4 linked regions of the Saccharomyces cerevisiae S288C genome follow. The gene in region 4 interacts genetically with the main gene of each other region. Each region holds a gene or a part of one and is shown on either strand. Other genes may lie near its edges.

The links.
Region 1: mutations in YKE2 (region 4) and ASE1 together harm fitness more than expected from each alone (negative genetic interaction), as found in Saccharomyces cerevisiae (5 studies listed by BioGRID, with this or other methods).
Region 2: mutations in YKE2 (region 4) and CIN8 together harm fitness more than expected from each alone (negative genetic interaction), as found in Saccharomyces cerevisiae (5 studies listed by BioGRID, with this or other methods).
Region 3: mutations in YKE2 (region 4) and RVS161 together harm fitness more than expected from each alone (negative genetic interaction), as found in Saccharomyces cerevisiae (7 studies listed by BioGRID, with this or other methods).

What each region holds. Positions count from the first base shown.
Region 1 is NC_001147.6:431,635-440,486, reverse strand, and holds ASE1 (Ase1p), read left to right. Parts: upstream 1-4,141; coding exon 4,142-6,799; downstream 6,800-8,852. Other genes in the region: SLD7 (Sld7p), read left to right, coding at 1-97; LPL1 (putative hydrolase), read left to right, coding at 229-1,581; co-chaperone SGT1, read right to left, coding at 7,114-8,301. UniProt on the Saccharomyces cerevisiae protein: Required for anaphase spindle elongation.
Region 2 is NC_001137.3:34,064-43,477, reverse strand, and holds CIN8 (kinesin motor protein CIN8), read left to right. Parts: upstream 1-3,940; coding exon 3,941-6,943; downstream 6,944-9,414. Other genes in the region: phosphoacetylglucosamine mutase PCM1, read right to left, coding at 1-226; HHY1 (Hhy1p), read right to left, coding at 518-826; SOM1 (Som1p), read left to right, coding at 854-1,078; PRB1 (proteinase B), read left to right, coding at 1,525-3,432; nitrogen permease regulating protein NPR2, read right to left, coding at 7,224-9,071. UniProt on the Saccharomyces cerevisiae protein: Elongates the mitotic spindle by interacting with spindle microtubules to generate an outward force pushing spindle poles apart.
Region 3 is NC_001135.5:126,264-133,088, forward strand, and holds RVS161 (amphiphysin-like protein RVS161), read right to left. Parts: upstream 5,280-6,825; coding exon 4,482-5,279; downstream 1-4,481. Other genes in the region: DFP3 (DUP240 family protein), read right to left, coding at 1-467; serine/threonine protein kinase SAT4, read left to right, coding at 2,207-4,018; ADY2 (Ady2p), read right to left, coding at 6,010-6,825. UniProt on the Saccharomyces cerevisiae protein: Component of a cytoskeletal structure that is required for the formation of endocytic vesicles at the plasma membrane level.
Region 4 is NC_001144.5:543,223-549,856, forward strand, and holds YKE2 (tubulin-binding prefolding complex subunit YKE2), read left to right. Parts: upstream 1-5,789; coding exon 5,790-6,134; downstream 6,135-6,634. Other genes in the region: glycylpeptide N-tetradecanoyltransferase NMT1, read right to left, coding at 1-82; rRNA-processing protein PWP1, read left to right, coding at 746-2,476; snoRNP complex protein NOP56, read left to right, coding at 2,875-4,389; PBA1 (Pba1p), read right to left, coding at 4,631-5,455, 5,542-5,547; ubiquinone biosynthesis protein COQ9, read right to left, coding at 6,289-6,634. UniProt on the Saccharomyces cerevisiae protein: Binds specifically to cytosolic chaperonin (c-CPN) and transfers target proteins to it. Binds to nascent polypeptide chain and promotes folding in an environment in which there are many competing pathways for nonnative proteins.

The sequences.
Region 1 (8,852 bases), on a different chromosome or scaffold from region 4:
ATTAAAACGCATTTCGATGGGATCTGGTGAAGAGGTTTCGTTTGAATCATTGCAGGAAACTGTGGAAACTCTTCTGAAGCTCTTTACCAAATCATGATCAACGGGGATTTTCAGTATATAAGATCAAAATGAAAAACAAAGATAATAAAGAAAGGGTGGCAACTCTTTACTGCAATAATCGGTAGAAAACTTCGTGTGATCAACCATATATATTATACAGCGCTTCAGATGACTTCGGATAAACACCTTTTTGTGCTGATTCACGGGCTATGGGGTAACTATACTCATATGGAATCTATGAGGACAATTTTATCCACTACATTAAAAAAGGAAGATGTTAACGATGATATGATATATTTTTTACCAAAGCAGAATGCCATGTTTAAGACGTTTGATGGTATCGAAATCATTGGGTACAGGACATTGATTGAAGTTTGTGAATTTATCCGAGATTATAAAGACGGGAAAATCACCAAACTAAGCGTAATGGGATATTCGCAAGGCGGATTAGTGGCCCGATTTATGATCGGTAAGATGTTGACCGAATTTAAAGAACTGTTCGAGGATATTGAACCACAATTATTCATTACAATGGCAACGCCTCATTTGGGGGTAGAGTTTTACAATCCTACGGGCATAGCATATAAAAGTGCGTTATATAGTGCGCTGAGGACCTTGGGATCTACTATTTTAGGTAAAAGCGGGAGAGAAATGTTTATCGCAAATTCTAGTAACAATATATTGGTGAAATTGAGCCAGGGTGAGTACCTTGAAGCACTCTCGCTATTTAAATGGAGGATAGCGTTTGCGAATGTCAAAAATGACCGTACGGTAGCCTTCTATACGGCGTTTATTACGGATTGCGACCCATTTATAGATTTTGACAACAAATTGAAATATACATTCGAAGAAAAGATTCCGGGATCTGGCTATAAAGGAATATTGCCTAAGATTGTCGACCTAAACGCTTTAAACGTTAACAGCCATGCTCCTACTAAACCGACCAAGACTTATAAAAAGTGGGGACGCACTATTCTTATTATACTAGTTGCAACATTCTTAATTCTCCCAATAGCCCTGGTTATGAATGGCCTGGGAACCGCTTATAGTTATATTGTTACTTGCAAGTACCGCAAAATGCTCTCTAATGGCATTCTTCACAATGAGGTCAGAGGAAAATTAGGATTGACGGAGCAACTGAAAGGCTATGTTACAGATGCATACGGGTCCATCATAAATTCGGCTTTAGATATGGATGCGAACTATGAAGCAAGTAATAGTAATCTTGTAAACGAAGAAGAGCTTCCTTGGAAGGAATTTATCCAAAAATACACAACTATAAATGATGGTGTTTGGAAATCTAAATTTAAAAAACTGCCTTTTGATGAAAACCGAAAGGTTATTTTGAGAAATCTAAACAAATTGAAATGGATTAGAGTTCCAATATACATAAAGGCTGTAAATGCGCATGGCGTGATTGTGGCACGTAGAGGAATGGACGAGAATACAGCTGCTACTGGGATTGCTTGTATCGAATTTACGGCCCAATTACTAGCATACTTGATGCACAAGAGTAATTGAGCACTTGATTTACACGAAATAGTATATATTTTTGAATGAACACTCTCATGTGATTAAAATGTATTACTACCACTAATGCTTGAAGGGAATTGATAGACTCGTTTTATAGTGGGGGAAAAAGAAAAGAAGAGGATGGTACCCGAATAGTTACTGACAAAAATAAAGAACTCCTCATAGGGGGCTCGAACCCCTGACATTTCGGTATCCTTGCTTAAGCAAATGCGCTTAAAAGCCGAACGCTCTACCAACTGAGCTAACAAGGATGAGTTCTTCGGAGCGTCCTAAATAAAGATTTCTATAGATAGTGGGTATTTAACTTAGGTTATTTAAAGTAATTAACTACCGAAAAGGATACATTGCTAAACTATTTGATAAATGTTGAGGTATAATTTTTATAAAGGAAATAATTTTGGATAGAGTATGTTGGAATAGGAATCAAGTATTATTTATCGACTAGCATTCATATTATTAATATAGTATCATATGCGGCGTAAAAAGATAACCCTAAAGATGAGAAACAGTCATCAGATTTAATGGGAGCTGGATTGCAAGGATATATAATGTAATAATATAATGACTATTATCATAAAGAACAGAAGAAGAATATCAATATTATTAGAAAGAGATATGGATACTCTTTTGGTGGATTTCAATTCTCGAGGGGAACTTTCATATATTTTGTGTATCTAATATTATAGCCTTTAGCAACGGTAGAAGCCCAATAATAATCATTCATTACCTCATGGTAGAGCCTATGATTTGGTTACTTCTAGGGAAGCGTACACAAATCAAATTCGTCACACGTTTCCAATTTGCAAACCTCATATGATAAGGTTTCCAGCAACGCCAACTTTCAACGGATAATACACCTGTTTTATCAGCTGCTCCAGAGAATCATCATCATCGTATCTGCTCAATTACTGTCGTCACAGAATGGACCGTACTTATAGCGATATAATCACTCCGAATCAAGCCAAGCCATCTAGTTGGTCATTTTTAGGACGCCCGACTATAATGTCGTCGATGTATTTTCAATCAGATACTCAACCAACAATTTTATAGTATATATCACCATTGAGAAGCCCTTCACGTAGTTGAAACAGTATACTAACCCAACAATCTCGTATGTTTTTTGATACACCAATCACGTCTCGCAATTTTTCACCGCCACACATTCTGTGGGGGAAGAATACTTCTACTTGGACTAAATTCTACATCAAGTTTTGAAAAATTCCAACCCACAGGCAACATTCATTCTAATGAACAGGGTGAATTCTGCGACCACTATCGTACGAAGAGCATTCATATTTGTACAAAACATTTCAAACGTTTGTTCCGTTTCATTTGTTGCCAATTTGGTTCAAGAAAACTTTAGAAATCAATTGCAGCAATTTTCAAACTGTTCTCTATAAAGCATGAAGAATATTGAACCTTGAATATAATGGAAGAATATCTGCAGATTTATTTGAAGCAGTGAACACTCTGACCTACAGATTAAAGGAAGACGATATAAAGGTAATGACAGACTAACTTGGCAGTTTATCTAAAAAACTTTTCGGAGAATTCAGTTGCTTACGCCAGTAATACTGTGGTAGAAGAAATATTACTTGGTATTCAAGCCATCTACGAGGAAGGAAAATTTATAAAAAACACGAGTACAATAACACGAAGGGAATAAATAAAAATGTCATATGTTCATAACAAGTGCACAGATCGCCCTGCTGATTATGTTACGGATAACAAGATAGAATATCCTTTGGAGCTCGACAATTCTACATAGTATTATATTTTTCTCTTCTTCTTTTCTTTGTTCATTTCCATTGTCATATTTACGTATTTGCTGATGATTGTTGGCATTCCATAATATAGATAACATTATGATAATAATTTCGTCTAACAATCTGTATCATCTTATCAAACCATACATAGCAATATACTACTGATTTAAAACCAGCTAATACAAGATATTTGATCTCTATTTCAAACAAAGGATTTTAAATGTTCTTCAATATGGTCTTCTTTTTTCATTTATTTTTTTTGATTAATATTTTGTTGAAAAGTAAAAGTTTTGAGACATGCAACTTGTATTTCTCAGAAGTGAATAAAAATAAATATATGAGATTTAAGATAGAAAAAACAAATCATCTTTAAAAACTTTCTTTCCTAGTATAGCCACTTTTTATAGTTACAATTGTAAAGAACTGCCTATAAACAATAAGTCTGTCTGCCATATCTACGTTATTATTTAATTTCACTAAATAACCGCCCAGAAAATCGTACAGTGTGATTTTCTTTCGTCATCTAATATTTCCCAATGAGGTAAAAGGTAAATAAGCTTGAGAATCTTTAAGAGGAAACAAATACAAAAATATTATTAAAGTCGAATACCTGGTTTTTTCACAGAACAATAGCAAAGATACGAACAAACGGCTATTACCGAGAATAATTATTTTAAGGACTAATTAGAGCATTTTAATAGGCTATTTTTAATCATCAGATATAGCATTCTGGCATTAGAATTCAAAGGTTTCATTTTGGATTCACTACTTTTGATGTTGAAATGGAGACAGCAACTTCTTCCCCTTTGCCCATTAAATCGAGGAGAAACAGCGAAAATTCTGGGTCTACTACAGTTATACCGCATATGAACCCTTCTTTAGCAACACCGTTGACTGTGTCGACCATGGTAAATCAATCAAATTCTAAAGAGTTTATGAAGTTGACCCCAGTTCGTATTAGAGATTTTGGTTCTCCTTTGAAAAACGTGTCCACTAATTACCATTTTTTAGACTCAGAAAATGGTAAAGGTAACACAATGGATAATATGTATAGAGAAAATTTCATTCTTATTTCAAAGGATCTAGAGAAATTACTGGAGAATCTCAATGTCATATATCAAAATATTGGGTATTCTAATACGGAAATTATCACCAAGGAGAAAATCATATTCACCACTATATCTAATTCCATAAAACAATTTTTTGAGCAAGCTGACGAAGAATTGAAAAGACTGTCCGCAGAGAACGGAATTGAACAGGATATTCTAAATAACATTCTAGAGAGAATAAATGACCCAAGTGGCATAAAGACTATTCCTGACTTATACATTAGAAATGCTATTCTACTGCAAGAAAGTAAAACTGTGCCACAGTCACCGAAAAAGCCACTTTCCTTACTAAGCAAAAAAGCAGCATTAGATACAGCAAAAAAATTTGTCCTAGGAAGTTTTTTACCCAGGCTCCGCGACTATTTAAAATCCTTAATCACTCTAAAACACCTCATACAATCTGTAAAAGAAAACCTTCCTGGATTGACAGAAGCAGATAACGAGGCTATCGCCGAGTTTCCAGAATTAAGCACATTAACCGCATATTTGTTACAAATAGAAAATGGTAAAGGCGATATTGGTTTGTCCATGAAATTTATTATAGATAATAGAAAAGATATTTTAAAGGGATCGGCATTTAAAACTATTAACGAAGAATCTGTGAAACACATGAATGAAGTCATAAAAATTTACGAGGAAGAATACGAGAGGAGGTTTAAAAGCGTACTCACAAAAAAGGTTAGTATTTCATCAATATGTGAACAACTTGGAACTCCCCTAGCAACGTTAATCGGTGAAGATTTTGAACAAGATCTAAGATCATATGGAGAAGAGGAAAACTCCACATCAGAAATACCAAATTTCCACCCGGTAGACAGAGAAAGAATGTCTAAAATTGATATTACATTGGAAAAACTGCAAGCTATCCATAAGGAAAGAGCAGACAAAAAGAGGCTCCTGATGGAACAATGCCAAAAACTTTGGACAAGGCTAAAAATTTCTCAAGAATACATAAAGACTTTTATGCGTAACAATTCAAGTTTATCAACCGAGTCCTTAGGTAGAATCTCTAAAGAAGTTATGCGACTTGAAGCAATGAAAAAAAAACTAATAAAAAAACTTATATCAGATTCCTGGGACAAAATTCAGGAATTGTGGCGTACGTTACAGTATTCAGAAGAAAGTCGGTCTAAATTCATCATTGTATTTGAAGAACTAAGGAACAGTGCAACAACTTTACAGGAAGATGAGCTTCTTCTAGAAACTTGCGAAAATGAGCTAAAAAGACTAGAAGAAAAACTGACCCTTTATAAGCCAATTTTAAAATTAATATCAGATTTTGAATCTTTACAAGAAGATCAAGAATTTTTGGAAAGAAGTTCAAAAGACTCTTCACGGCTTTTGTCTAGAAATTCTCATAAGATATTACTAACTGAAGAAAAAATGAGGAAAAGGATAACAAGACACTTTCCTCGAGTCATCAATGATTTAAGAATTAAATTAGAAGAGGCCGATGGTCTATTTGATCAACCTTTTTTGTTCAAAGGTAAGCCACTTTCAGAAGCAATTGACATTCAGCAACAGGAAATCGAAGCAAAATATCCAAGATGTAGAGTTAGAATGCAGAGATCTAAAAAGGGAAAATGTGGTGCGAACAAAGAGAATAAAGTCATAAAAAACACTTTCAAGGCCACAGAAAGTTCCATCAGGGTACCGATTGGTTTGAATTTAAATGATGCCAACATTACTTATAAAACGCCTTCAAAGAAAACAATACAAGGCTTAACAAAGAATGATCTATCCCAAGAGAACTCGCTTGCTCGTCATATGCAAGGAACAACGAAGTTATCTAGTCCGAACAGAAGAGCAACAAGATTACTAGCACCCACAGTAATATCTAGGAATTCCAAAGGGAATATAGAGAGACCTACCTTAAACAGAAACAGATCATCCGATCTTTCATCATCGCCTAGGATAAATCATACGCATGGCGAACATGCAGTAAAACCACGCCAATTGTTTCCTATCCCGCTGAACAAAGTCGACACTAAGGGTAGTCATATCCCTCAATTAACTAAAGAAAAGGCTTTAGAACTTCTTAAAAGGTCGACTGGCACCACGGGTAAGGAGAATGTACGAAGCCCGGAACGCAAAAGCTCATTAGAAGATTACGCACAAAAATTGAGCAGTCCTTATAAAGAACCTGAGCACAGCATATATAAACTTTCCATGTCGCCAGAAGGTAAATTTCAATTAAACATTCAACAAAAAGATATTGAAAGCGGATTTGATGATACCAGTATGATGGAAGATGAAAATGATAAGGATTTTATTACATGGAAAAATGAGCAAGTTTCGAAATTGAATGGATTCTCCTTTACAGATATTTGAATTTCTTAAAAGCGCATTCATTTAACCCTCTGATCTCTTATTTATTTTTTTTGTGGTTTTTTTTTTCACATCACTTTCTAGCCTTCGCTACATTGTCTCTTTCTTTCCTTCTTTTATTCTATCATTCTCCCTTTCCTTTTTCCATTGCACCGTGACTCTGGATTAATATGGACATAATAAAATTTGTAATATTCAATATAATCATGTAAGCATTCCAAGTAAATACGCAGGTTGGCTAGTCTAAATCGAAAATGTAACATTACTACCATACTATATATCTACATATTGTAATTGTGTAGGTATATACTAATCATTTACCAATGTTTAGGTTCCATGCCTTCTGGTGGTGAAGTTTTAACCGTTCCCTTAGATACGTCTTCCCAGTCTGTACTCAATGCAGTACCATTACTTTCTATAAAGGATTTCATCATAGCCCTTTTGGTATCTGGATCCGCTCCAGCGTAAAGCTTTTGAAAGAAACTATCAGCCGATCCCGCTTCTTCATCAGCTTCTTCATCAATGTCAAGTTTAGACCAATCTATTTTTTTTTTAGAGGACGATGGATAAGACAATCTCTCTTTTGATGCCGTTTCTGCTGATAATAAGCGGGTTGCAGAATCAGAATTTTTACCCTCATCTGATAACCTTGAGGATTCCGTTAAAATATCTTCTTCCAACTTCTTCCATTGCGTGCTATCAATTTTGCTCAAGGTAATTTCCAGCTTTTTTGGGAAAATTTTTAATGACACTGCTTTTGGATCCACCTCATGCGAAAGCTTAGCGTTGTATTGAAATTCAGATCCAGATTTCGGTACTTGGTACGATATCGATAAAGTTCTTCTATCGTTTGGAGAAATATATATATTGACTTGTTCCTTAGACTCAGGAAGATTAACAGTAAATAATGATATAGTGACAGAGGTGCTGGATTGATACCAATCGATTTTAAATTTAGGGGATTCTTGAGGAGCGGTTTCAATTTTGAGAGGTGAAATGGGACTATGAGAAGAATTATTATCTCCTCTGTTTTCAATACTTTCCACTGGTTTAATTGTATGCTTATTAGTTGAATCCTTCTGCTTTTTATTTTTTTTATTCAATTTTGTCTCCAGACGATCTTCCCATAAAGGCAAAGTGTCATCAACGTAACCAAGATTCTTGGCTTTTTTAAAATAAGATTGGGCCAGTTCATAATCTTTGATATTGAAGAAATGAACAAAATAACGAAAGTTAACAAGACCAATCTTCGATCTATCGCCCCTACCCTCAGCTGTCATTAGAGCCTTGTCAAGAAGTTCCTTTGCGTTTTCCATAGTTGCATCGCTGTGCCAATCAGAAAACCCAAAGTATAGCTTTTCAAGACATGCTGCCTTAAAAATGAGAGCCGTTAAATTTGTGGGTGAGCCTTTGAGAATTTCATCATAAAGATGGAGGGCCTTCAGTGGTTCCTTCTCATCATACAAAGCTTTGTAGGCAGTTTTTAAATCTTTTTCAACAGGCATTTCTTTTTCGTTTCCTTAAAACAACTACCTCTTTAACCTTAAAAGACTTCTGCCATTACTTTGTCATAGTGCTTTCGTTCAATTATTAGCGTTCAAAGATATATCGCATATGATCAACTCATCTTGAGACCTTACACCCTAAAGTGCTTATATTGGCTTCGTTTATAGTGATCAAAGTCATCAATATAGTGCTCGTCAGTGTAAGACTGAGAAGATCATTCTTAAAAGAATTAGCAGATGATGCATAAGCACTATGGCGGTATTATCTACTATCATTTCTCTTGTATCTGTGCTGAGCCTGGTTCTATTGAAGAAGAATTCAAAATTTGAATGTCTCAATAGAAAAACCCGGACATTCCATAATGCAAGATCAAAATTTTTCGATGAGCTTTGTTTTGCATTGGCAAATTTTTACCTGCTAAGAAGAAGTCTACATGGAGAAACAGCACCATTATCTCAAGTATGTTCTTAACATAGAGGTCGTTCAGTCAGCGCTAGATAAATCTCATCGGCGATCATAGTTCAGTATTTTTCTAAAGTTTCTTTAAAGG
Region 2 (9,414 bases), on a different chromosome or scaffold from region 4:
CCCCGTTGTCCTGGTATGGGTTGTGCGACGCCGTGATCATCACCCCCACATACTGACCCTGAAGCTTCAGCGACCTGAGAACCGCCAGTATACCAGTACTGAACATCACCGTATCCAAATTCTTGGCCAGCGTTCTGAATCCGGCCGTACCGTAACTGAACTGCACATTCTTTGTGCGGCACGTGTCATCGTAGAGTTTGCACAATTGCTCGTAATCAACCTTCATCGTCTCTAAGCTTACTGCTGACCTTTGCCTTGGTCCTTGTACTTGTCTCGATTGCTGAAACCATTAACGGTTTTTTGTTCTTACTTAATCTTTTTTTTCCCGACGACGCAAAATGTCAGAAAAGATATAAATAGAGCAACGTTTCCTGCTACATGAAACACGCTGGCATATAGAAGAACTTCAACGAGCGAGGCTCTCTGAACAATCTGCTAATCGTGCAAGTAAGGGTTCTCGTGACAGTTCACCGTGTATAAACAGATAAACAGATAAACAGTCAGATATGCTTAATTTTTAACTGTAGGCTGTGCCGACATGCCATTTTATGCGGCTCACTTCTAACAAAAGTGACCATGACGCACAAGCAAGCAAACAGCCAAGTAAGGAAGCAGACAGCTTCACAGCACACACACACCGTTGTGTACGAAAATCCTCTGCAGAAGAGTGTATATGCCACTCATCCACACTTCCGCAGCGCAGTACGTAATGCGGTATCGTGAAAGCGAAAAAAAAACTAACAGTAGATAAGACAGATAGACAGATAGAGATGGACGAGAAACAGGGGGGGAGAAAAGGGGAAAAGAGAAGGAAAGAAAGACTCATCTATCGCAGATAAGACAATCAACCCTCATGGCGCCTCCAACCACCATCCGCACTAGGGACCAAGCGCTCGCACCGTTAGCAACGCTTGACTCACAAACCAACTGCCGGCTGAAAGAGCTTGTGCAATGGGAGTGCCAATTCAAAGGAGCCGAATACGTCTGCTCGCCTTTTAAGAGGCTTTTTGAACACTGCATTGCACCCGACAAATCAGCCACTAACTACGAGGTCACGGACACATATACCAATAGTTAAAAATTACATATACTCTATATAGCACAGTAGTGTGATAAATAAAAAATTTTGCCAAGACTTTTTTAAACTGCACCCGACAGATCAGGTCTGTGCCTACTATGCACTTATGCCCGGGGTCCCGGGAGGAGAAAAAACGAGGGCTGGGAAATGTCCGTGGACTTTAAACGCTCCGGGTTAGCAGAGTAGCAGGGCTTTCGGCTTTGGAAATTTAGGTGACTTGTTGAAAAAGCAAAATTTGGGCTCAGTAATGCCACTGCAGTGGCTTATCACGCCAGGACTGCGGGAGTGGCGGGGGCAAACACACCCGCGATAAAGAGCGCGATGAATATAAAAGGGGGCCAATGTTACGTCCCGTTATATTGGAGTTCTTCCCATACAAACTTAAGAGTCCAATTAGCTTCATCGCCAATAAAAAAACAAACTAAACCTAATTCTAACAAGCAAAGATGAAGTTAGAAAATACTCTATTTACACTCGGTGCCCTAGGGAGCATCTCTGCTGCTTTGGTCATCCCAAATCTTGAAAATGCCGCCGACCACCACGAACTGATTAACAAGGAAGATCACCACGAGAGACCCAGAAAAGTGGAATTCACTAAGGACGATGATGAGGAGCCATCTGACTCTGAAGATAAAGAACATGGAAAGTTCCATAAGAAGGGCCGCAAGGGCCAAGACAAGGAGTCTCCGGAATTCAACGGTAAACGTGCAAGTGGCTCTCATGGGAGCGCCCACGAGGGAGGAAAGGGCATGAAGCCTAAGCATGAAAGTTCCAATGATGATGATAATGATGATAAGAAGAAGAAGCCTCACCATAAGGGTGGCTGCCACGAAAATAAGGTGGAGGAGAAGAAGATGAAAGGTAAGAAAGTCAAGGGCAAGAAGCACCACGAAAAGACGTTGGAGAAAGGGAGGCACCACAACAGGCTGGCTCCTCTCGTGTCCACTGCACAATTCAACCCAGACGCGATCTCCAAGATCATCCCCAACCGCTACATTATAGTCTTCAAGAGAGGTGCCCCTCAAGAAGAGATCGATTTCCACAAGGAAAACGTCCAGCAGGCACAACTTCAATCCGTAGAGAACTTATCTGCCGAAGACGCTTTCTTCATTTCTACTAAAGACACCTCCTTGTCCACCTCTGAGGCTGGCGGTATCCAGGACTCATTCAACATCGATAATCTTTTCTCCGGTTACATCGGTTACTTCACCCAAGAGATTGTCGACTTGATACGTCAAAACCCATTAGTAGACTTTGTTGAGAGAGACTCTATTGTCGAGGCTACAGAATTTGACACTCAAAATAGCGCCCCATGGGGGTTGGCCCGTATTTCCCACAGAGAGCGCCTCAACCTGGGGTCCTTCAACAAGTATCTCTACGATGATGATGCCGGTCGCGGTGTCACGTCCTATGTTATTGACACGGGTGTCAACATCAACCACAAGGACTTCGAAAAGAGAGCCATTTGGGGGAAAACCATCCCACTTAACGACGAAGATCTCGACGGTAACGGCCACGGTACCCACTGTGCCGGTACTATCGCTTCCAAACACTACGGTGTCGCTAAAAATGCCAACGTTGTTGCGGTGAAAGTCTTGAGATCAAACGGGTCTGGTACCATGTCTGATGTCGTCAAAGGTGTCGAATATGCCGCAAAGGCGCACCAAAAAGAAGCCCAAGAAAAGAAAAAGGGGTTCAAAGGTTCCACAGCCAATATGTCGCTTGGTGGTGGCAAGTCCCCAGCTTTGGACTTGGCTGTTAATGCAGCCGTTGAAGTCGGTATTCACTTTGCCGTGGCTGCTGGTAACGAAAACCAAGACGCTTGTAATACCTCCCCAGCTTCTGCTGACAAGGCCATCACCGTCGGAGCTTCCACGTTGAGCGATGACAGAGCCTACTTTTCCAACTGGGGTAAGTGTGTCGACGTTTTCGCCCCAGGTTTAAACATTTTGTCCACCTACATTGGAAGTGATGACGCCACCGCCACTTTATCGGGTACCTCAATGGCTTCCCCTCACGTTGCTGGTTTGTTGACCTACTTTTTGTCTTTGCAACCAGGTTCTGATAGTGAATTTTTCGAATTGGGCCAGGATTCTTTGACTCCTCAGCAATTGAAAAAGAAGCTAATTCATTACAGTACAAAGGACATTTTGTTCGATATCCCTGAAGACACTCCAAATGTTTTAATCTACAACGGTGGTGGTCAAGATTTGTCCGCTTTCTGGAATGATACCAAAAAGTCCCATTCATCTGGTTTCAAGCAAGAATTGAACATGGATGAATTCATTGGATCAAAGACCGATTTAATCTTTGATCAAGTGAGAGATATTCTTGATAAATTGAATATTATTTAATTCTTCATTTAGAAAAATTTCAGCTGCTTTTTTTTTTCTTTTTCTTTCCTTAGGCGTCTCGAGGTTACAAGTCGGAGTCCCTCTTCACTATCGTTTGTCCACTTTTTTTATATCCCCATTATTTTCAATCTGAATTTCATTTTTTTTTTTTAATTCATGAAATTTATATGTCCCACGTATTACTACATATTTGCGTTTTTAATTAAATAAATAACTGTTACTTTTATTATATCTTATTTGCAGATCACTTATCTGATCAAATGTTTTCGTTTTCGTGTGTGGTGACGATGTATTAGGTACGCGAAATAAACAAAACAAACAAACAAGGCCGCAACAATAACATCATCTAAAGACTTCCTTTGTGACCCGCTTCTCAACAGCGGGTGTAGAACTTATGGTATGGCCAGAAAGTAACGTTGAGTATAGATACAGAAGCAAGCAATTCAAAGGAAAAAGTAATAAAAAGTATATAAAAGCGCAAAAAATACAACAAGAAAGAATTTGTTTGATGCCAGCGGAAAACCAAAATACGGGTCAAGATAGAAGCTCCAACAGCATCAGTAAAAATGGCAACTCTCAGGTTGGATGTCACACTGTTCCTAATGAGGAACTGAACATCACTGTAGCTGTGCGATGCAGAGGAAGGAATGAAAGGGAAATTAGTATGAAAAGCTCCGTTGTGGTAAATGTTCCAGATATTACAGGTTCTAAAGAAATTTCCATTAACACGACGGGAGATACCGGTATAACTGCTCAAATGAATGCCAAGAGATACACAGTGGACAAAGTCTTCGGTCCCGGCGCTTCCCAGGATCTAATTTTTGATGAAGTGGCGGGCCCATTATTCCAGGATTTCATTAAAGGTTACAATTGCACCGTACTGGTATATGGTATGACGTCAACAGGTAAAACATATACAATGACGGGCGACGAAAAGTTATATAATGGTGAATTGAGCGATGCAGCAGGAATTATACCGAGGGTTCTTTTGAAGTTGTTTGACACATTGGAACTACAACAGAACGATTACGTAGTAAAATGTTCGTTCATTGAACTCTACAACGAAGAATTGAAGGACCTCTTGGACAGCAATAGCAACGGCTCTAGTAATACTGGCTTTGACGGCCAATTTATGAAAAAATTGAGGATTTTTGATTCAAGCACAGCAAATAATACCACTAGCAACAGTGCTAGTAGTTCCAGGAGTAATTCTAGGAACAGTTCTCCGAGGTCATTAAATGATCTAACACCTAAAGCTGCTCTATTAAGAAAAAGGTTAAGGACAAAATCACTGCCGAATACCATCAAGCAACAGTATCAACAACAACAGGCAGTGAATTCCAGGAACAACTCTTCCTCTAACTCTGGCTCTACCACTAATAATGCTTCTAGTAACACCAACACAAATAACGGTCAAAGAAGTTCGATGGCTCCAAATGACCAAACTAATGGTATATACATCCAGAATTTGCAAGAATTTCACATAACAAATGCTATGGAGGGGCTAAACCTATTACAAAAAGGCTTAAAGCATAGGCAAGTAGCGTCCACTAAAATGAACGATTTTTCCAGTAGATCTCATACCATTTTTACAATCACTTTGTATAAGAAGCATCAGGATGAACTATTTAGAATTTCCAAAATGAATCTTGTGGATTTAGCTGGTTCAGAAAACATCAACAGATCCGGAGCATTAAATCAACGTGCCAAAGAAGCTGGTTCAATCAACCAAAGTCTATTGACGCTGGGCAGGGTCATAAACGCACTCGTAGATAAAAGCGGCCATATACCTTTCCGTGAATCGAAATTGACCCGCCTGCTTCAAGATTCCCTGGGTGGTAATACGAAAACCGCACTAATTGCTACTATATCGCCTGCAAAGGTAACTTCTGAAGAAACCTGCAGTACATTAGAGTATGCTTCGAAGGCTAAAAACATTAAGAACAAGCCGCAACTGGGTTCATTTATAATGAAGGATATTTTGGTTAAAAATATAACTATGGAATTAGCAAAGATTAAATCCGATTTACTCTCTACAAAGTCCAAAGAAGGAATATATATGAGCCAAGATCACTACAAAAATTTGAACAGTGATTTAGAAAGTTATAAAAATGAAGTTCAAGAATGTAAAAGAGAAATTGAAAGTTTGACATCGAAAAATGCATTGCTAGTAAAAGATAAATTGAAGTCAAAAGAAACTATTCAATCTCAAAATTGCCAAATAGAATCATTGAAAACTACCATAGATCATTTAAGGGCACAACTAGATAAACAGCATAAAACTGAAATTGAAATATCCGATTTTAATAACAAACTACAGAAGTTGACTGAGGTAATGCAAATGGCCCTACATGATTACAAAAAAAGAGAACTTGACCTTAATCAAAAGTTTGAAATGCATATTACTAAAGAAATTAAAAAATTGAAATCTACACTGTTTTTACAATTAAACACTATGCAACAGGAAAGTATTCTTCAAGAGACTAATATCCAACCAAATCTTGATATGATCAAAAATGAAGTACTGACTCTTATGAGAACCATGCAAGAAAAAGCTGAACTAATGTACAAAGACTGTGTGAAGAAAATTTTAAACGAATCTCCTAAATTCTTCAATGTTGTTATTGAGAAAATCGACATAATAAGAGTAGATTTCCAAAAATTTTATAAAAATATAGCCGAGAATCTTTCTGATATTAGCGAAGAAAATAACAACATGAAACAGTACTTAAAAAACCATTTTTTCAAGAATAACCATCAAGAATTACTGAATCGTCATGTGGATTCTACTTATGAAAATATTGAGAAGAGAACAAACGAGTTTGTTGAGAACTTTAAAAAGGTCCTAAATGACCACCTTGACGAAAATAAAAAACTAATAATGCAGAATCTGACAACTGCAACCAGCGCGGTTATTGATCAAGAAATGGATCTGTTTGAACCCAAGCGCGTTAAATGGGAAAATTCATTTGATCTGATAAATGATTGTGACTCCATGAATAACGAATTCTATAATAGCATGGCAGCGACGCTATCGCAAATCAAGAGTACTGTTGATACATCATCAAATTCGATGAATGAGTCTATTTCAGTCATGAAAGGACAAGTGGAAGAATCGGAGAACGCTATATCCCTTTTGAAGAACAATACCAAATTTAATGATCAATTTGAGCAGCTTATTAACAAGCATAACATGTTGAAAGATAACATTAAAAATTCGATAACATCAACACACTCTCATATAACTAATGTGGATGATATCTATAATACGATTGAAAACATAATGAAAAACTATGGTAACAAGGAAAACGCTACCAAAGACGAAATGATCGAGAACATATTGAAGGAAATACCAAATCTAAGTAAGAAAATGCCGTTAAGGTTATCAAACATAAATAGCAATTCAGTGCAAAGTGTAATATCGCCCAAAAAGCATGCAATTGAAGATGAAAACAAATCCAGTGAAAATGTGGACAATGAGGGCTCGAGAAAAATGTTAAAGATTGAATAGTTGATATTGCCTTTCAGTCGAATATATATTCAAACTAGTGGTTAATAAAAACAAAGTATGTAAAGAATACTCAGTTATTCATTAGAAGGCAAGACAGAAGAGAAGGGTGTGAAACCACCTCTACCAAACACACCAAGAGATGAACCTAAATCAAATTTTCACAGAGCTAACTATATAAACGTTTGGATTCGTGTGTACTATCTTTATTTACGGAAATAAGTTGTAATATTAAAAAAAAAAAAAAACATTTTGATGGACAATGAATTTCTCTAATTTTAACTCAGCTATTAATTACCTTAAATTCTCCTAATTCGTTTAGGTAGCTTTCGACTTCTAATTTAGGCTTGCTCAGTAAAACGCAAATTTTATCAAATGTTTCGGCATTCCTAATAGACTCTTCAAGAATACCTTCTTCTTCGTCGCTGAGTTTCGGCATAGTACTTTTGCCTGTTGCCAACGAACTTACCCTTTGCATTTCAAATGAAACCTTTGATGGTCTTTCTGGTTTCAAGTTGCCGGATTGTGCCGTATTTCTAGACCCTGTGGCTGAAAGCAAATGATTGTGATTTCTTTTTTCAAGTAACTTATCATTATTCACTAAATCTTTTGTTATTATTGGTGTCATTTCTTTTGGTTCACGTGAACCTGCATTTATCATTACAGGAAAAGAGTAGCACCTGTAAATGATACGTTTTTCCAGGCCAAACGTTATGAACCTTCTTATATCAATGTTATTTTCTTTTAAAATCATATATTTCGACTCATACCATGTTTTCAGCGTTTGACCTTGTGAAAGTGACCTATAAAGGTCAAATAGGCATGATCTTGTTGGTAGGAATCGGTTACGATTGTTGATGACATGAATATTTGAACTCGAGCAGGAGGTTTGTGATTGCCTCCAGTCTTTATAAATTGATGAAAAAGAGGAATTTAAGGAGGAGTTTTGAGAAACTCTACTGGTAGAACTAAAAGATGTAGTTCTAGAATCCGGGTTTGACGGTATGCTAGATGATTTGGATTTTCTTCGTACAGAAAATGATGGTGAGTCTTGGTCACCTGAACCCAGACTTTTGTTTAAGGGCAAGTTCGATATTTTAGACACTTCTGGGAACGTAACATAAGATTGACAGTCACTAGCCATTAGTGGATCAGTCAAAAAATTCCTAATTAATGAAGAAGGAGCGTATATGTTAGAAAATTGGAAAATATCTGATAATGTAACACACTTATAGTATATTAAGTGACGTATGCACTCTATCACTAGGCCAGGATCACTGTTGCTTAGTTTAGAAATTTTGGCAATGCTGTTTAAGCCATCAATGTAAGGGACTATACTCATCATGGTTGGATCCCAGTTGACATCAATAATCTTCTTCAAATTTACAGACGACAGGGGCACATCTTCTAATGAGACACAAGTTGTCGGTGGTCTCAACAGCGGAAAAATCTTTATGTCTACTGCATTTCCCTCATCAATTGGTATGAGGCATTCGGAATAGTTATTCAGGTCTTGGAAAATTCTCATCAATAAATCTTGTATGGAAAATGCGGATTGCGGAAGGCCCAAATCCTTGATAAGGTCACTGTATCTGCTGCTTCTCATATCCTTTGTATCCTTTTCGGATGTAGGATGAGTTGGTGTGGTGTTACTACTAGGATTTGGCGTGGATGAAGGACCTGCAGTGGAGGGTGTTGTTGTGGAGTTTTCCAACACCTTCAAATCGAAGAAAACTGGATCTCTTTCCGATTTGGATAGCAATTGATTTTGTTCTTCAAGAACTTTGAACATTTTGCCCAGCCTAGTAATAGCTGGTTCGTAGGGAGACGTCTCACAATCATATGGGAATACAAATACAAAATTAAAACTAAAAAAATTCCTAGCATATATTGGAGAATTGATTGTCACAGGATAACATACAATCCTATATGTACCATACTTAAAAGTGATCAACTTGTGGCATAATATAGGCTTCGGTATGATGTAGTTTTTAAATGTGTTGAAATTAATACCATGATTTTTCAAATTATTTGGCGGAAACTCGTATTTAATCTTAGAACCTTCTGTAGGATGGAACACGGAGTAAAATATTGTGTGTATGGGCACAAACCCTTGGAAATAGCTTAGCATTTGCCGTTGGCCTGATGATCTGACCATTCCCTTTAGTAGAGAAAGAAAGTCGCTTCAAGCTAACCCAGTTTTCTTTTTTTTTATCACTTATCAGTCCTATTCGGAGATACAGGCAACAAGTGATAGAGGGCCCATTATGAATACGCACCTCTATGTATTTCCGAGATACGATTACTCCAGTTCCTCTTACAAGAAATGCATAAAAATAGTTACAATTAATTAGAACAAGAACTTATTTAGAACACGTTCACACTGAGTAAGAACTCTTGTCCCTTATTAGCCTTGATAGTGCTGAAAAAAAGAAAAAAAACAAAAAAAAGAAATAAAATAACGGCAAACAGCA
Region 3 (6,825 bases), on a different chromosome or scaffold from region 4:
TCACTACTATAAAAGTAATAGCGAGTACTCCATAAACCATTATCAAGTAAATATTGATTCATATTGTCTGTGATTGCTCTCCATTCTTTTCCCTTTACCGCTGGCCTGTGGGTGATAACTTCCAGCAAAAGCTTAATTCTGAAACCCTCATCCGAGATATACACATTAAACGGAATCAACGTAGACAAAAACAAAATAGAAGTGACGAAAATTGAAAAACCAAAAACGACATCACAAGCTTTAACATTATGAAAGATCACAACTATTAAAATTGAAACTGAAAGTGCCAAGAAGGAAAATATCATCGGTTTGTAATGAGCCATCTCGTACAGCAAGTAGGTCATATATGATTTAAAGGTGTCTTCAGGTAAAGTGATATTTTCTGCGGATGATAACACATTTTGTTCCCCTAATGTATCCAATTTGACATCGTCATTATTACTGTTGTTGTCTAAATGAGGCTGCATGCAGATACGGAGTTTTGTTTCTTGTCTTGATATGGTATAGACAACCGACTGGTGTATATAAACAGAACACAGACTTACATTTTCAGGTTCGAAGTTTTATTGAAGTTCATAAACTCTTTTTAAATTATTTTGTAAACTTGAGCTATTCAAGCAGTATTCTTATTTAACCTAAGCATAGCCCCGGATACAAGGCGTATAATACCCAACTAACTTAAAATGAGAGCCACTTACTGAACACCTTGGAAGGTCATTGTTTGGTTGAAAGGAATATTATTAACTAAGCCTTAGAACAAGGCGTCACCTAAATGATAATGGCTTTTCTTCTGGGCGCGGTCGGGGCTTCGACTCATTTGATACTAGGTTAATTACCCTTTTACGCATACCTAAATATTTGTAACTTTAGATCTGTCCACTAAAAGCGTTTCGATGACTTAGTTGTGCTACTAATAGTAAACTCTTTGTGCAGGCAAATTATATCATCGCTGGCTAGACTTTTTGTCAAAAGTTCTGTTTATACAGTGGGCAGCTAGAGTGCTTAATAACAAAGATATTGTCCTTTAGACTTACACAAGAGCAGAAGCAAAGATAAGCACTGTTTGTTCTGCTTCCATCGTTTTTGCTGAAAATTTTGCATGCATATCCAACCAATATTTAACACCTGGATTATCTCGGTTCAAAGACTACAATAAACGCCCCAATAATTGTGATGCTTTTTTCAATCCAGCCCGCACAAATGAATACCGCTGCTATTGGATGCCATCTTCAGATGTACGTCCAAACTGTGGTTGGTATAGTTTTTAGAACCTCGTGGTGAGGAGTGTTCCATTCTTTCAAAGGCAATGAGAAAAAAAAACAGTTGCGATATTAGTCAACTGTTTTGCATGGTTTCTTTGACGCAGTTGTAAAATCATACTCGAAGGGTAGTTGGAAAATTTTCAACATATATTAGTAATACTTTTTCTGTAAAAGTGACACAAGATAAAATGACTCCATGGCCAAGTTGGTTAAGGCGTGCGACTGTTAATCGCAAGATCGTGAGTTCAACCCTCACTGGGGTCGTTAATTTTTCTTTTCTTTTTTTTTTTTTATCTCCGACGGAGAAAAAATTTTTTCTCAACCCCCGGCATGGCGAATGGAAAAATCACCTGGCACGTCATTTCATCAAATCAACATCGGCCTCCCCGTGCTAATATGTTAACAGGCCGAGCTCTTGCCATCTCACGCATTTTCCGCTATACAAATAGTATATATAATATTACAGCTTTTAAAGAGGGAAGAGGAAACGGAGAAGAAAATATACTACTTTATAGAGATATTCGGCAATTTTTTTTAGCAAAAGTTTATTAAACCCTAATATAGACCTTTACTTGGAGTTTCGATTTTAAGAATTTTTTATCATTTTTTTTTTTTGACGATTTCCTGTCGGTTTCGTTATAACCTGTTGTGTTGTTGTTGTTGTTGTTATTGCTGGGTTGTTGTTATTCACTTTAACATTATCGAATAAAATTTGGACTTTCAAAGTCCTGTTCAATAAGTTGTACTAAGCCTTTAAGCGTTTTTAAGTTACAAATAAAAACTGGAAAGCTTAAGGTAGCTTTCTAATATTAGGCTCTCAACCTTTTTTTACTCTCCATTTACCGCTAGATATTAACTAGTAGTAAGTATTGTGACTACTATTCCCTGTAATCAAAAAAAAAGTAATCAGATTTTATTTTATTTCGACATTACCCCTCAAATATATGACTGGTATGAATGATAATAATGCCGCTATTCCTCAGCAAACTCCAAGGAAACATGCGCTATCTTCTAAAGTTATGCAACTTTTTAGAAGCGGTTCAAGATCATCTAGGCAGGGAAAGGCCTCATCGAATATCCAGCCACCTTCTAATATAAACACAAACGTTCCATCGGCGTCTAAATCAGCCAAATTTGGTTTACATACCCCAACCACTGCTACTCCTAGGGTAGTTTCTAATCCTTCTAATACTGCAGGTGTGAGTAAACCGGGCATGTATATGCCCGAATATTACCAGTCGGCATCACCATCGCACTCTAGTTCATCCGCATCATTAAACAACCATATTGATATTAACACCTCTAAGTCATCATCAGCTGCTTCTTTAACTTCGTCAGTATCAGCTTTATCCTTATCACCCACATCAGCCATAAATATTAGCTCCAAAAGTTTGAGCCCAAAGTTCTCTCATCATAGTAACAGCAATACTGCTATTACACCCGCGCCTACTCCCACTGCTTCAAATATTAATAATGTAAATAAGATAACCAATACAAGTGCACCTATTTGTGGGAGGTTTCTTGTGCATAAAGATGGTACCCATGAACATCACTTAAAAAATGCTAAGAGACAAGAAAAGCTAAGCACAATGATTAAAAACATGGTTGGTGCGAGCAAATTACGTGGTGAGGCAAAATCTGCTGTCCCTGATATAATAATGGATCCAAAGACGACTTTAAAATCCAACAAGAATCCTCCTACTCTTTTTGCAGGCTTCATGAAGCAGGTCGTGGATATGGATGATAAATATCCAGAAGGCGCTCCCACAAGTGGCGCTTTAAATTGTCCTGAAAGGGATATATACAGGTCAGATCAAAAAGATTCCAAAAATAATACGCATAATATCACTACTACTAAAAAAGATAGGCAATGTTTTGCCGAAAAGTATGGTCGCTGTCAAGAAGTCCTTGGTAAAGGTGCTTTTGGTGTAGTAAGAATATGTCAAAAGAAAAATGTTTCTTCTCAAGATGGTAATAAAAGTGAAAAGCTTTATGCAGTGAAAGAGTTCAAGCGTAGAACATCCGAATCAGCAGAAAAGTATTCTAAGAGGTTGACTTCTGAATTTTGCATTTCTTCTTCATTACACCATACAAATATTGTTACTACACTAGATCTTTTCCAAGATGCCAAAGGCGAGTACTGTGAAGTAATGGAATATTGTGCAGGTGGCGATCTATTCACTTTGGTCGTTGCCGCCGGAAAATTAGAATATATGGAAGCAGATTGTTTCTTCAAGCAGCTTATTAGAGGTGTTGTTTATATGCATGAAATGGGTGTTTGTCATAGAGATTTGAAGCCTGAGAACTTACTGCTTACGCACGATGGTGTGCTAAAAATTACAGACTTTGGTAACAGCGAATGTTTCAAGATGGCATGGGAAAAAAATATTCACCTTAGTGGAGGCGTTTGCGGTTCATCGCCGTACATCGCCCCAGAGGAATATATCAAAGAAGAGTTTGATCCAAGACCCGTAGATATATGGGCATGTGGTGTCATTTATATGGCAATGAGAACTGGTAGACAATTGTGGAGTTCTGCTGAAAAAGACGATCCATTTTATATGAATTATTTAAAAGGACGTAAGGAAAAGGGAGGCTATGAGCCAATCGAAAGTTTAAAAAGAGCCAGGTGTAGGAATGTTATATATTCGATGTTAGATCCCGTTCCGTACAGAAGAATTAACGGGAAACAAATTTTGAACAGTGAATGGGGAAGGGAGATAAAATGCTGCCATAATGGGCGCGCATTGAAATAAACGAGTACTTCACTTTCAAATATCACGATATTTTGGAACAATTCGGTATTTTTTACTTAATCTAGTACACTAAGGAATGCTTTGTTATCCGGCATTCGTATCTTATTCCTCGCTTCTATTGTTCTACTTTTATATCCCGTTTGGCTGATTACGGATCACGTTCAAATTGGTAAATCCCATTAATTAAAAAAGAATTGTAACCTTATTTAAAAAAAAAAATAGTACATAACAATAAAAAAAAAAAAGATAATAATTTTGAATTTATTGCTAGACATTCTTACGTTTATTGTGTTCATGTTAACAAAAACACATGCCCGCGGTTATTATCGCTTTTTAATTGCTTTCTTAAAAAGAGTCGGTTGGTCAGATAGAGCAGATAGTAAATTATAGTGCTATTTAGGTCTGTTAATTTAAATGAAAGAAACATAAATGACCGTAAAAAACTAAAGGCAAAAGCATTAATTTATTTTATCCCGAGCGCACAAATATCTAGGCTTGTCATTTGTCCTAATAGTTCTTCGATTTTAGTGTCTAATAACCCATTGGCATAGTCGTCTCTTGATTGTTGGTCCAAATATTGTTGAATCTGCGCTAAACGAGTGTAACCATCAGTACAGAACCTTAGCTGAATCTTGATTAAAGCTTCAAAACTTGGGTCAAAGTAAGGTACTCTTAATGAAACTAACTGTGGTAGTTCAGTTTTCAATTGGTTATTAAGATTTTCGAAAATATCTTTAGCTAAGCTCAATTCTTTTTCAGCCCTTGGCAGTTTAGAGGCATCTTTAGCAGGTTTGTCCACTAATCTACGAACTTTTGCCTTCGCAGCATCGAAGTCTTGTTTCTTATGGTCTCTCTTTTTTATGGCCTCCTCAATTTCTTTGAAATACGTCGAAAACTTTGTTATTGGATCTAGTACGGTTTCTCTTAAGGGCCCGTCTAATTGCTTAACAGTTTCGCTATCAAAATCTTGAACACATTGCAAATAATAGTTACCAACGTTGTAACCACCACCAGCAACATATTTTGAATCGTCATAGAGGTTAGAGATGACCTCGGCAATGGTAGTCTGTGATGCTGTCACAGCTCTCAATGAGTCCAAGAAACCTTTGGCTTCCTTTTGTAATGCCTCACCTGCTCTTTGAAGAACTTTATAACGACGTTCTTCCATGTCATACTCTTTATCAATGGTCTTGTCGACATTCTTAATTATCACACTGTGACCAGCTCTGTTGATAGCTTTCTTAAAACCTTCCCAACTCATCTTGTATCAGCTTTCTTCTGGCTTCTTATAATAGGATTTGTATAGTTTTCTATATCACAGCGTTTCCTTTTCTTCTCTCACGTCTGCCTGTTATTAAATTTGTTTTCCCTTTCTTTTAATTCGGATTCTCATAATTGTTCAAAATCCGCGCATTTGGATCGTCCAGCCCCTGCAGCGCCCAGTTCAGCCAACAAAAATTCATAGGGACGTAAAGGAAACGTTTCATGTCTGTTACAATGAAAAAGACAAGTCGAATCACATTATGAATGGCAAACGATAGACCTTTCGTTGCCTTTCAATTACATGATATTCGTGGCAACATCTTCTCCGCTAACCTAAAAGTTTTATCAGAAACATATATCTTATTTTTTCTGAAGTAAAATCAAAGTGCAGGGAAGACAAGTAAAGGAGTCAGCAAAAAAGTGAAGTAAACTTATATGTTAACTGTTTATAACCGTACCTTGCTTACATCATCTATATTTTCGTAATCATTTTTGTACATTGTTTATATCTTGTTTTGAAGTTTTAGCTTTGAAAAACATTTAATTGCGAAGTAACATAATGTTATTAATAGTGTACGACTGAAACAGCCATTCTATTTAAACATATAAAAGTACGATTAGTTGGTGTGGTTATATAAGTCATAAAATAATTATCATATTAAAAAATTGAAAAATAAAAAACTACTCTTTTTTATTTCAATAGTTCTCGTTATTAGTAGGTCGTGCTCTTAAAAGATTACCCTTTCAGTAGATGGTAATGGGAATGGACGAGCCAGTACATATGAATTCTGCTTTGTAGCAACACCTGCATATGCGTTGTACCAAGCAATGAAAGCAACAACAACTCCCAGGACACCACCAGCTCTTGTGACACCAAGTCTATTAGCAAAGTGACCAATAGACAACAGTAGGAAAGTTAATGCTAGTAAGAAGAACAACAAAAAGAACATAACAGTGGATTTCATGGTACAAACGGTTAAACCAAACGTAAAGATGGCCCACCCCAACAAATAAAATCCTAAAGCATTATTCAAATCAGATTCATTGTCTTCGTAAGCTTCCAAGATACCAAACCAAGGAATGTAAATTGCAGCGAAACTCAACCAAAACCCACCGTAAGAACATAATGCGGTACCACCAAAAGTATTTTCCAAAGCTATCTCCCAAATACCAGCAATCAATTGCACCAAACCACCATAAAACATAGCACAACCGACGACAACATTAGGAACAGTGATCCCTTGCGCTCTCGCATTGAACATGGACAGCACAAATGTCGTCAACGCGAAGGCTGAAAGACCTAAGGGCGCAGGATTAGCAAATTTGTGCACTGGAGCAGGAGCTAACCCTGGATTCAAGGTACCACCAAAGGCTTGGTATAAGTCGCTCTTCAAAAACTTTTGACGCCCAATATAGATATATTCATTGTTATCACCTCCAGTGTAAATCTTGCCCAACGAATCATGAGATGGACGTTCATCTTCTGCAACGCCATTAACGTCGTTATCATGGGAACTATAGTATCCTGCTGGTGCATTCTCCAA
Region 4 (6,634 bases):
TGAATTTTGAAGTATCGTCATTATTCAACTGTAATAACTTCAATAAATTCTCTAATTTTTTCGCTTTATCCTCTTCTGACATTCTATAAATACGTTTACTACCGAAGCTCTATGACAACCAGAGCTATTGTACAGATCATTCTCTAAAAAGCGTGCAACACATATCATCTTCAATTATAGTGAATTACTTTTATCATGAGCAACGGCTGAAATTATTTTATCCTATTGTTTTATGACAGTATCCTTTCAAAAGAGTCGAAAGGATCCTCTGTTGCAAGAACTACTATTACGTAATTATACATAGTCCGCCTGCAATTTCTAGTGAGACTTTGCTTTGCTTTCCACTTTGCGATTAATATTGAGAATTTTAAACGTTAACTGAATTCTTACCCACCCATAATAAGAACTCTAACTGGCGAATTTATCATGAAACAAATCTGCAAGAATAAAAAATTAGAGAATCGTGCAATTCAATTTAATTGCCTTGTCCGTTGTAAAACTTTTCCATAGGCCCTACCTTGAGTTGATCATATGTATTATTCTATATATATTATATCCAGTCGGGTAATAAATTTTCTCGCCCTCGAAAAAAAGAAGTGAAAAATTTGTCTCGATGAGCTGAGATGAGTTTGAAAGAAGCAAAGAGTTTTAATTTGTAAACGATAGCAAGTGTACCCTCAGTTGAGTCTATTACGCCTTCCTTATTTGGAAACTTAGAAGACGAATAAAAAAAACAAAATAACTAATGATTTCTGCTACTAATTGGGTTCCAAGAGGGTTTTCCTCGGAATTTCCTGAAAAGTATGTTCTGGATGATGAGGAAGTGGAAAGAATTAACCAATTAGCACAGTTGAATTTGGATGATGCTAAAGCTACTTTGGAAGAAGCAGAAGGCGAATCAGGTGTTGAAGATGACGCCGCAACAGGTAGTTCTAATAAGTTGAAGGATCAGTTGGATATAGATGATGATTTGAAAGAATATAACCTGGAAGAATATGACGATGAGGAAATTGCAGATAATGAGGGTGGTAAAGACGTTTCCATGTTCCCGGGTTTAAGTAATGATAGCGATGTTAAATTCCATGAGGGTGAAAAAGGTGAAGATCCATATATTTCATTGCCTAATCAAGAGGATAGTCAAGAGGAGAAGCAGGAGTTACAAGTTTACCCATCCGATAATTTAGTTCTTGCTGCGAGAACAGAAGATGACGTTTCGTATTTGGATATCTACGTTTACGATGACGGTGCTGGGTTCCACAGTAGCGATATTCCCGTTGAAGAAGGTGATGAAGCTGACCCAGATGTTGCTCGTGGATTGGTTCGTGACCCTGCACTTTACGTTCACCATGATTTAATGTTGCCTGCTTTTCCACTATGTGTTGAGTGGCTTGACTACAAGGTTGGATCCAATTCCGAAGAAGCAGCCAATTATGCTGCCATTGGTACGTTTGATCCACAAATTGAAATTTGGAACTTGGACTGTGTTGACAAGGCCTTTCCCGATATGATTCTGGGTGAACCTCTTGATAATTCAATGGTGTCTTTGAAAAGCAAAAAGAAGAAGAAGAAGTCTAAGACTGGACACATTACTACTCATCATACCGATGCTGTTTTATCCATGGCACACAACAAATATTTCCGTTCCGTTTTAGCATCCACCTCTGCAGATCATACCGTAAAACTATGGGATTTGAACTCAGGTAACGCAGCCCGCTCCTTAGCTTCCATTCATTCAAACAAAAATGTTTCATCATCTGAATGGCACATGTTGAATGGTTCCATTCTTTTGACCGGTGGTTATGATTCTCGAGTAGCTTTAACAGATGTTAGAATTTCTGACGAAAGTCAAATGAGTAAATACTGGTCTGCCATGGCAGGTGAGGAAATAGAAACTGTTACATTTGCCAGTGAAAATATAATATTATGTGGTACTGATTCTGGTAATGTGTATTCTTTCGATATTAGAAACAATGAAAACCGTAAACCAGTTTGGACATTGAAGGCACACGATGCTGGTATCTCCACATTATGTTCAAACAAATTCATCCCTGGTATGATGAGTACAGGGGCCATGGGTGAAAAGACTGTCAAATTATGGAAATTCCCCTTGGATGATGCTACGAACACTAAGGGCCCAAGCATGGTTCTGTCTCGTGATTTCGATGTCGGAAATGTATTGACATCGTCATTCGCTCCAGACATCGAGGTAGCGGGTACCATGGTCATTGGTGGTGTCAATAAAGTTTTGAAACTATGGGACGTTTTTACCAATAGATCTGTACGTAAGAGCTTTAAAAGTGAACTAGAGAATGTTCAAGCAAGAGCAAAAGAAGAAGCCCAAAAAATAGGAAAAAGTTCAAGAATCGCCAGAAAATACACCAGTAACGATAACCCAGATACTGTTATAACCATTGATGATCAAGGTGAAGATGAAGAAGAAAGAGAAGGTGGAGATGAGCATGATGACATGGCATAATCTGGATATGAAAAATATTAAAGCAGAGTACATTGCAAGTACAAATAAAAAATCTATAGAAGATAATACTGTATACTAGTGTAAGAGGAGCCTCAGAAAAAAACAATATAATACATTAATATGTGCTGTTACGGTATAATTTAGCATATGATGACAATGTGGTGAATTACAGTTGTGTAACTTTTTTATATCACCCGGCATATATACGCTCGTAGAATGCGATGTGAAAATTTTCTTTTTTTTTTTTTTTCAAAGTGAAATTTTTTTGAGTGATGAGATGGGAAATGAAAAATTTTGTGCAATTGCGTAGTGTCTACAGTTTTTTAAGTAGTTATTAAAAGTGTTTTGGAAGGTATATTTCTAGGAGAAGAAGCGTGCAGAACAGTATTTAGTGAAAGATGGCTCCTATTGAATACCTACTGTTTGAAGAACCTACTGGTTACGCAGTTTTCAAGGTTAAGTTGCAACAAGATGACATTGGTTCAAGATTAAAAGAAGTTCAAGAGCAAATCAATGATTTTGGTGCTTTTACAAAGTTAATCGAACTTGTATCTTTCGCGCCATTCAAAGGTGCTGCTGAAGCCCTTGAAAATGCTAACGACATATCAGAAGGTTTAGTCTCTGAGAGTTTGAAAGCTATCTTGGATTTAAACTTACCAAAGGCTTCCTCGAAAAAGAAGAACATTACTTTGGCTATTTCCGATAAAAACTTAGGTCCTTCTATTAAGGAAGAATTTCCATATGTTGATTGTATTTCAAATGAACTTGCTCAGGATTTGATTCGTGGTGTCAGATTACATGGCGAAAAATTATTCAAAGGTCTACAATCTGGTGACTTAGAAAGAGCCCAATTAGGTTTAGGTCACGCTTACTCCAGAGCTAAAGTGAAGTTCTCTGTTCAAAAGAACGACAATCACATCATTCAAGCTATTGCTTTATTAGATCAATTAGATAAAGATATCAACACTTTTGCTATGAGAGTTAAAGAGTGGTATGGCTGGCATTTCCCCGAACTGGCTAAATTGGTACCAGACAACTACACTTTTGCCAAGTTGGTTCTTTTTATCAAGGACAAAGCTTCATTAAACGATGACTCCTTACATGATTTGGCTGCTCTTTTGAATGAGGATTCGGGAATTGCACAAAGAGTCATTGACAATGCCCGTATCTCCATGGGACAAGATATATCAGAAACCGATATGGAAAATGTTTGTGTTTTCGCTCAGAGAGTCGCTTCCTTAGCTGATTACAGAAGACAATTATACGATTACTTATGCGAAAAAATGCACACTGTTGCACCAAACTTATCAGAATTGATTGGTGAAGTGATTGGTGCTAGATTAATTTCTCACGCAGGTTCCCTAACTAATTTATCTAAGCAAGCAGCTTCAACGGTTCAAATTCTTGGTGCTGAAAAGGCTTTGTTCAGAGCTTTAAAAACTAAAGGTAACACTCCAAAATACGGTTTGATTTACCACAGTGGTTTTATTTCTAAGGCCTCTGCCAAGAACAAGGGTCGTATTTCTAGATACTTGGCTAACAAATGTTCTATGGCCTCTAGAATTGACAATTACTCTGAGGAACCATCTAATGTTTTTGGTTCCGTACTAAAGAAACAAGTTGAGCAAAGATTAGAATTCTACAACACTGGTAAGCCAACTTTGAAGAATGAATTAGCCATTCAAGAAGCCATGGAACTTTATAACAAAGATAAACCAGCTGCAGAAGTGGAAGAAACCAAGGAAAAGGAATCCTCAAAGAAGAGAAAATTAGAAGATGATGATGAAGAAAAGAAGGAAAAGAAAGAGAAAAAATCGAAGAAGGAAAAGAAAGAAAAGAAGGAAAAGAAGGACAAAAAGGAAAAGAAAGATAAAAAGGAAAAGAAGGATAAAAAGAAGAAAAGTAAGGATTAAAAGGAACAATGAATCGAAATAAAGTATATCCCATCTTTTTGTGTACTTTTCTTCCCTTTAAAGTTTTTCATATATATATATATTATCTTTTATTCCCTTCTAATATTCTTCTTTAGGATTTGGAAGCTGTATATTGTATATTTAGAAATATTATTAAATAAAAAAGTCATATGTTATTTTGAGCTTAAGTACCCTCTTATGCCTCTTTCACTCGCCATTACTGACATTCTGTGATCGCCATTCATATATATAGGCCTGATTGTGCACCAATTGCCGCGCTATCACACCTCCATAAGCGATAGCATTCTTCAGAATATCTTGAAGGCTCAAAACCAAGCCATTGACCGCACAAATCAACTAAAGAACCCATGTCAGACAACGAAAGTTTCTCAAATCCATTAGGCCCCTCACTAGGCGCTACAAGACATTTAAATTTCAGTCCCTTACTGGGACCGACAATCAATTGTGTTAGCACACTTCCTATGAATCCCGTTATAAATTCTGGTGGTTGTAGTGTACATTCATTTTCCGTCATTACCTTCATGCTGGCGATTTTATCAGAGGTGCCAATTACTATTATATCAGGGGAGAACTGGGCTAACTGTGATATGATAGATCTACTTATCATGTTACCAAAAATCGGCGATATACTAATGAAATTCTCCTCCATAGAAAATAATAACGTCTTTCCAAATGAATAAATCGGGAAAGAAAAACCATATACTGTTTCATCGGCGGTGTCATTTTTTTGATCAGGATCAACCTCGTTTGGAAAGTTTTCGTCGTAATTCCACGAGTGTTTACCTGAAGATTGGGGAAGACTTGGACTTTTCACCGTCAATGTAGTTTTAATTTCACCAATAGAGGTTAATTGAAGCAGATTTTTGGGGAATAATGGGTTCATTATCTTAGTAGTAATGACGGCTGTCGAATATTGAGGAACATCCAAGTCCTGAGGAAACTCAACTTTTGGAACCGGGCAGACTTCTAAAGATTGCAGGTTTTTTGAAATCTCTGGGAGATCTAGCAGATGTTTTGGTTCTGGTAAGTCATTCCATTGTTTAAACTTCAAAAAGAATCAAGTAACATAAGTTAGTCAAACCACTCTACTCTAGCAAAATATGATGGGGAAAAAAGATTATTGTAACATACAAGCATCGCTATAAATGAAAATTTTACTGTAGTGCGATGATATCTTGGTCGCTGTTTCTTATTATTTCGCCTGTTGCCACCTATTGCCACGCAACTTCTTAAATTGATTTCAATGAAGTCTGAAATTTTGATGCGAAAGAAAAAAAAAAGTAAAGGCAATAAAACTTCATCAAGTCAAACGTCATCTATAAATAATCCCACTTCAGAATTGAAAAAGACTACATTTGAGTGGAGGAACAAAAGCAAAAATGTCTGAATTAGGTGCCAAATATCAACAGTTGCAAAATGAGTTAGAAGAGTTTATTGTGGCCAGACAAAAATTAGAGACACAATTACAAGAAAACAAGATTGTAAATGAAGAGTTTGACCAATTAGAAGAAGATACACCTGTGTACAAATTGACAGGCAATGTCCTTTTACCAGTTGAACAAAGTGAGGCACGTACCAACGTGGACAAAAGATTAGAGTTCATCGAAACAGAAATTACAAGATGCGAAAAGAACATAAGGGACAAGCAGGAAGAACTAGAAAAGATGAGAAGCGAGCTAATTAAACTGAACAATACAGCAGCTTCCACTGGCCCAGGAAGGTAAAACAAACTCACAGGTCCTCGGAAAGACAAGAAAGCGCACAGTACCAATAAATCTGCCCAAAATAAAATTTTCTTTTATATACAATTATGTAACTTACAAACAAAATACCTACGCATTTCACTGTCCTAAACTTCAAATTGACATGTAAGATTGCTTAACCCCTAACTAATTGAGATTTGATTAAATTTACCGTAGACATTAACGTATACCAGGCAAACTCTTCAGTATTGTTATAGTACTCACCCAAACGCATGACCCTATGTAATTTATCCTTTGCAAAAGTAAACGTTTCTTTGTAATTGTGGGATTTATCCTGAGCCATAAATAACTTTGAACCAATGTAGGTGCTCGAAACAGCCAATCTCTTAGCATACCATGCAGAATCATGGTGGTCCTTTTCGTTGGAAAAGTAAATCATATCATCGGACAATCTGTGTAGTTCAGGAATTGCAGTTTCAAAGAGAAAGGCGCTTGGAATAGCCAATTGTGACATTAGTTCC